Drosophila melanogaster: one gene and its partner. The protein of the gene in region 2 interacts with the protein of the main gene of each other region in a pairwise test. Each region holds a gene or a part of one and is shown on either strand. Other genes may lie near its edges.

Region 1 (3,755 bases), on a different chromosome or scaffold from region 2:
ATGCAAATGCAGTGCAATGGAGAATGTTTATTACTCATTACAAAATAAACGATTCGCATACTTATTAAAATACATTTAGAGGGTAATGTTGTGTATTGTACTACGCTTTTTACGTTGTTGTTTTTGTTTTCCCCTGCGTTTCAACATAATATTGTAATATTGTAATTAGTTCTGCAAGTGATTACGGCTAAGTTAAATACTGCATTGTGCGCTTTGTTTTGTATCTTCGGATATAAGTTGAATGATTGTATTTTGTAATTTAATTTTAAGCTTGAGGAATCGCGTCTGAGGTGGATGAATTGCAGCCAGGCCGAGATCGAACCATACAAGAGATAAATATTAGAACCAACAAGTGTAAGGGAAACAACAAAACCAAACAAACAAAACAAATAAAAATAAAAACCAAACAAAGTGGCATCTGTTATTAGGTTAAAAGAATTATTGATATTGTTTGCAAGAAAATGTGTGAAATATATATAAATACAAATAAAATACCACTTAGCATAAAAACAAACCGTGAACAGACAAGCAAACAACAACAGATTGTAATTGCAATTTAAAAATAAAATTAATATTTCAAATAATAACCAAGCCGTTTTAAATAAAATGCCAATGGGAAGTTCTATGTGGTGTATGGGGCGTATGCGTAATTTTATTAAAAGTCAGCTGTGTTTTATATAATTTAAATCGATTTCATTTACTTTAATTGTTAATTGAAGTAATTTTTTTTGTTGTGAAGTTAATTTTTATTATGCAAAAACAAACTTATTTTATATATTTGTTGCCTTTTTACAAGTTACTTAAATATTTTAATTAAAAATACATACATTCTATATCACAAAATATAAAAAATATCTTAAATAAACATCTCATCATTTTTGATTGCTAGAATGCACAACCATCCCACTGTGCGACGTGCATCCGCAAAGGATTACGTCACTTGCCGCCGCGTCTCCTTTTTTTTTTTTTTTTTTTTTTTTTTTTTTTTTTTTTTTTCCATATTACGATGATGTTTTTATTATTTGATCAACGCACTGTTACCCATGCGGCAACTTAATTTGATCTGCTTAAATTATTTTATTTTACAATGTGTCTTGGTTACTTAAGACTAACAGATTTTTAATCCTAAAAATGATAGGGAGAATTATAATAGTTGATATAACATAGTAATTATTATTTATTTGATTATTCTAATGAATTTTAAAACTAAGACTTTCTAGGTCAAAACCAGGTTAGGGAGGTCATGAGGGTGGTGTCGCTTGAGTCTTCTTTTGACTCTAGTCCGAGGGTCAGCATTGACCACAGCTGCAGTTCCTAGCTTCCTTGCTAGGCTGTTGGGGTGTACATTAAGCCTTTCCATATATTTTTGGGCGATGTTCTGGAGCTTGTCTCCTAATTTGGGCACCTTGAGGTCGCGTTCGATGTCTCTTGTTCTCATATACCAAGGAGCCCCCGAGCCGCCGCGTCTCCATCGACACGGAGACTGACCCTCGGGCATCAGCTGTTTTTACGGACGAAGGATGACGGGGAGCCATAGGGGGAGCAGCGGTGCCGAGGGGTCGAAATGCCGCATGCACTGGCGGCAATCAGCTGTGAAGCTTTGGGGCACTCGGAAAGCTGCCCAATTCAAGGAGCTTCGGAGAGAGCCGGCGGTGAGCTTTGGCTCCGAACGGGAAAATAGGAGGCGACATCGAAAAGCAAGCGGCGCACCAGAGACTTTTCGGTGTTCGCCGCGCTTCGTCATCCTGCTTTTCCGCTTTTCCGAATCGAGAATGCGTGCCAAACTGCATGAAAAGGAAAACTTGGTCAGTTGAGGTCTCAGTTCGGGTCGGGTTTGCAATTCAACAGCACTGCGGAAGCGGAGAAAACTCGTCACCAAAGCGGACGGGCCAAACAATAAGCCAGCGTAGTAATATCGACTTCACACCGCCCTCGATATATATATAATATATATATATATATATATGATATTCGCAAGAAAACGGTATCGGAATGATATCCAAAAGTGCCAACCCATTGAGGGCCTAATCCAATGTGTTGGAAAATGATTGAAAATCGCGTGGAAATTGCAATGTGCGAATTGAAATGTGTATTTGTGTTTTGAATTCTTAACGCTCAACCCAAGTGTTTCCATTTTTTGCAGTGAGTGAGTGAGCGAGTGAGTTATGTAAAGCTCTGGTGTTGGGTTCTTTTCGGTCTTCGCGTTGGGTGCGGGATAGTAACCCATACCACCGCCCGCAACAATAACAACAACAACAACAATTGTAGCAACTGCACCACCAGTAACAACAAGAACAACCACAGCGAGCGTGTGAAGCGACAATAAGTGTTGCAAGATTGAGTGGCTTCAAAAAAGTGGTCATTAAAAATTAAAGCTAGAGAATTAGGATGCAAAGAATTGGGATTTCAAAACTAGGATTGTACTGGCGGTGAAAATTAAGTATACGCACCCACGGACCACTGCTAATTTATGCATGAACTTGAAAACTGAACACTTTTAGTGCATTTTGGCGTGCTAAGCGATAATAAGTTTATGATGCACTAAAAAATATTTAAAACCGTTTGAAGGTCAAGGAATAAGAACCGAATATTAGATTTAATTACATTTTTCAAATAACTAAATTGTCGGTTCAAAAAACCTTAATTCGACAATTCAAATTCTTAACTTTACTTGGTTTTGTAATACAATTTATTTGAGGAAAATATTTCAAAGAAATTTTGAGTTTTAAATATAAAATATATAAGTAAAGCGGCTCAAAAGCATTTATTCGAGATATTAAGTATACGCACCAGAGACCACAGCTTGCAGCATATAGAAATTGTAATGGCAAAAAATATAGTAAATACTCAGAACACTTTTGTTTTAAATCATATAAATGTATTTTTCAAATTTTAAAATATATAAAATAAAATATATATCTAATATATATAAAACAAAAAAATTAAATATATAAAATATATTTTTACAAATCAAAGAAAGGGTTTCCTAGTATTAGCACATTACAAGACAATTATTTAAATTTGGAAAAAGTTTTCAGACACGCAGACCCGAGTTTAAGTTTAGGAAAGGCCGCCGCAGAGCTACACTATTTTATATAAAGCCCCAAGTTATCGCAGCTTACCCCGCGTGGGTAAATCAATCAAAAACCATTTGCAGTCGCTTCAATCCCCGGCAATCAGCCCATTGAGCAAGCTTTGTGTATCATAACACAATCAGTTTGGGTATCGGCATCAATTACCAATTATAACTTGACAATAAAATCGCCAAGTGTCCGCATAAAGAGCCCAAAAGACACTCACACACACACACACACTCAGCCGCCAATCAATTCGCTTTTAGCGGTCTCCGACTATTTTTAGTTGCACTTGCTTTCCTTTTTTCTGGTTTTTGTGTTTTTTTAAGTTTATTTTACTTTGCACAATATTAGTGTCAAGGTGCAGCCAGTGCATAGAGACAGAGATGGAAATAGACTCCGTGACAGAGACGGCGACAGTCGAGCCAAAAGAGCAAGTCAAGAAAGCGCAAAAGAAACCAAGAAAAGGGGCGAGAAAATGGGAACCCCTTTTCTTGGCGGCGGCGACGACATCGCGAGAAAGCAACACACGAAAAGGTGGCTATCAAAAAATAATAACAAATACAACCACACGATGGGGAGGGGTGTGGAGTGTAGGGGCGATGGCGGTGCATTTTGGGGGTGGCAAGTGGGCGAAAAAGGGGGGATCTCCTCACGACTTGTCACATCGAACAGAAAGAA
Region 2 (3,755 bases):
AACATCGACGCGCAACCGATGGGCGGTATCCATGCGATTGAAGTTCATGGCAAAAAAAAAAATGAAAAAGTGTACAGAAAATGCAGAGAAAACCCGGGAAATCGGAGGATCGTAGACAAGGTTGTGTTGTGAAGTAACTTGTTCGAGAGTTGTCGCCTGAATGAAATTGGAAAACGTCGAAGATCGGAGAATTCCAGGCCGAGATCTACCGACGTCGACAGCGACAGCGACTGAGACTGCGACTGCGACTGCAGCAGAGGCGCATCATCTTTGGAGGCACAAATAAATAATAAAAAAAATAAAATTAAACGAACTAAAACATTGACTTCCAAGAAAACAACCACACGGAATTGATTGGCGACTACAAATTGGGCGAACAACAAAGTTTTACAAAAAAGAAGGGCACTGAAAAATATTTACATATAAGCTTAGATTCACTGTGAAATTATTAATCCGAACTAACTGATATTCAAGATCATTTGAATAGATCACTTGGATGTTTGGTAATAATTCAAATATAGATTATAATAGCTAATATTATTTATTTTAATTGTTCTTTTATATTTTTTTTGCAGTGTAAAACAGCACGAAAGAGACGGAAATGGAGGAGAGAGGGATTAGCGGAGATAGCAAAAATACTGGCAAAATCAAAACACGCACTCAAAACACAACAAACTAGATGAGGAGACTGATTAAAACGATCCGAAGTTGGAATACACTTCAAGGTCACAAAAACAACAATAATCTCCTATCATCAAAGGAATAAACCCGCCGCAAAGAATCATATTTAAGTGGGCTAATTATCTTAACTAAAAAGCTTATTATTCCACAAGGCACCGGGATATATTCGCAGAAACTTGATTGACGCAATCTAAACTGATTTATTATCATTTTATTTTTGTATATTTTGAAGTATGTATCTTAAGAAACCCAAGTGCTATACCACTTTACAGGGTATTATAACTTTCCTATATTTCTATATGGGTTAGTGCGACTCAAGAGATGTTGCGACTGATTGGCAGCGCAGCGACAGAGGATTAGCGCTACACTGAAACAATGCAGTGGTACATACAATAATAAATGAATTAAACAATTTTCAGGCAACTGATGCGGCTTGTGGGCAATATTTGCTTAATAAAACAAGCATTGTTAACAAGTTAAGAAGTTCTTAAATACAGCTTGTAACCAAAGATCATATCTGCATCCACACAAGGCATTTCTTCGAGTGTAGCGAACCGTGTGAGTTATTGCTACAGGTTTTTTTTTTGTTTTGAGTGAGAGTGCTTTGCTGTGTGCGTGGGAGAGTGAATGTCATTTGCTTTCTTTTTGCAGCAGAGAAAATAGAGAGAGAGAGAAAGACAAAGACAAAGACATCGAAAGAAAGAGATGTACAAAGAAACATTCAACTTGGTATAATATTGTAATAGGTAAGCGATGATTTGCAAGAAATAAGTTAGCCCATCTTCATTGATTTAAGGCCATACGTTTTGCTACCAACTGGACTGCTGTGTTTTCGCGCAGTGCACGAGGTCAGTGGGTGGCGGTTGGGTGGTTCGTGTGGCTCGTGTGGCTTGTGTCGTCGCGATGCATTCACTTACATGGGCAGCGGCTGGGGAACTGGCGACTTACATGTCGCCCTTAGGGAACTCGGCTTTTGGGGCATGGACATGGAGGTGCAGGCGTTGAGGGACTTGCCGCTGGCCTTGCTGCCCAGCGGACCGGCCGCATTGGTGGCCGCATGGGACATCATCGATCCGTCAAAGGAGTCCACATCCTGGACGCGCAGCTCGACGGGCGAACCGTCCGAGGTGCTCAGCATTCCGCGGTACGACATCTCGGCAATTGAGATCCTGGATCCTGGGATCCTGAACGGTCTATATTGGCTAACGGCTAATCCAAATGAGTGTTTCGTGTTGATTTGTTTCGATTTTTCTCCGATGTTTACTGATTTGTGTGTTGTGAAAATCTTGAGTGTTTGTGTTTTTTTTATTTTTGTTTTGTTTTTTATGTAATTCCCCCGGTGACAGGTGTCGCCGCTCTGCTCGATATTCTGCTCTGGGGCAATGTCTTTGGGCAACTGTCGGTTCGGATCGGTGGAATATATATACCGCCCGCGATCGACTGCACTTAATTTAGTTTGAATTCCGTTCGACGCAATTCGCGCATCTCCTACGCGTCTGTCTTTCGCTTTTTTCTTTGTCTACGCCTCAGTATTTTCCTCTGCTTTCTCTCCTCTCTCACTCTTTATATAGTTTCACACCTCTCCCGATCCCAGCGGATCCAAAGTTTATATATCGGGTAAAGTTGGTAGGGAGCTTTCTAGTCACTAGCAAACACGGCTGCGGCACAAAGCTCGGAAAGCCCACAATGTTTGCTAATTATAAACAATATTTTGGATAAACAAACTGCATATAGCCACGCCGAATGGGTGGAACGCCAAAGGGGGTTTTCAAGATCAAAGCTCTTCGAACCCAGTAAAAAAAATAGATATATACATATGTACAAATTAGACGATTAACAATATGGCATCGTCTCTAACTTTAACCTCTTCTGATTAGCTAAGAATGGGCATGTGATTTAAAGGACTAACAGTTTTTCCATTTATTGAAATTCGGAAAAACGACTTTTACCAAAAATTTGATATTTACAAACCGAATTTTCGTCATAACTTTGGTAAAAATGGTCATATAGATAAAAGAATACCTGTTTTGAGCAGCTAATTACCAATGCTAACTAATTCTATCACTTTTTGACGAATTTTGGAAAAAAAATTTTTTCGTAAATTTTTGCATTTTTTGTAAGGGGTACCATCATCAAAATTTGCAAAAAATTGCAAAAAAATGGAATTCTAACTTTTAAATACAGTTTGATTGGAAATTTAATTACGAACTCAACGATATATGACATTCCATATTTGGAGCACTAATTTTCAAGTTTTGGTCAAAAAATGGATTATTTTTATACCCAAATTCAAAATTTTACCATTTTTGTAACCCAAAATTTGCGAAAATGGCAACAATTTAGAATTTTTATATTGAAATACTAAATGAAAAACTACTTTTCAAACTCAGCGAGGTACGATACATCATTTTAGGTAAATTTGTATAAATAATTTGGCCAAAAGGCGGACCTTATTGGTCAAAAATGCATTATACTGTGCCACTCTTTAAATTGATTATGGAATTGGTTATTTCTCAACTTGAAACCACCTATATGCTCATTTATCATTGTCAAATACATAATTTCTGCATAATACTTGTAGACCACCAAATTAATGATCCATTTTGGCGATGTTTCGATCGAATCGATCGACAAGTGATAAGTACGATAAGGCTGCCTCCTTGACACACCACTTCAAATTCGTAGTTTGCTATTCCGTATTCTAGTCTGGTAACTTTCCTCTATTAGGAGGGCTCGGCTCGATTTGTTTAACGCCCTGTCAGAAGTGGCTTATCAATAGCCCCCAGATGGGAGCCAAAATTGGAATTGGAATTGGAATTGGCAATGGAGTATCGGTATCGGTGGTTAGCGGTGGGTTGTTAATAACCCATGTGAAGTTTTTTCAGCTTTTTTTCTTTTTTCTTTGATAGCTTCATAGGCCAATTGGTTTGTTCAACCTGGTGGTATTGTGCGCTTTTCGCCATGTCTGCAAGTCATTGTCAGTTCATTTGCCTTATTTGCCGAGTGTGCGATATGCAAACATTCATACATATACTATGCAAATATATATGTTTATGTATATATAGATATATATA

Evidence for each region. The genes of interacting proteins can lie anywhere in the genome.
Region 1: the proteins of AMPdeam (region 2) and pHCl-1 interact in a two-hybrid assay, tested with the Drosophila melanogaster proteins (one large-scale study listed by BioGRID).

Annotation. Positions count from the first base shown.
Region 1 is NT_037436.4:15,896,986-15,900,740, reverse strand, and holds the start of pHCl-1 (pH-sensitive chloride channel 1), read left to right. Parts: upstream 1-1,820; 5' UTR 1,821-1,909; intron 1,910-3,755.
Region 2 is NC_004354.4:13,837,937-13,841,691, forward strand, and holds the start of AMPdeam (AMP deaminase), read right to left. Parts: upstream 2,076-3,755; 5' UTR 1,835-2,075; coding exon 1,630-1,834; exon of another isoform or gene 1,626-1,629; intron 163-1,625; exon of another isoform or gene 49-162; coding exon of another isoform or gene 1-48.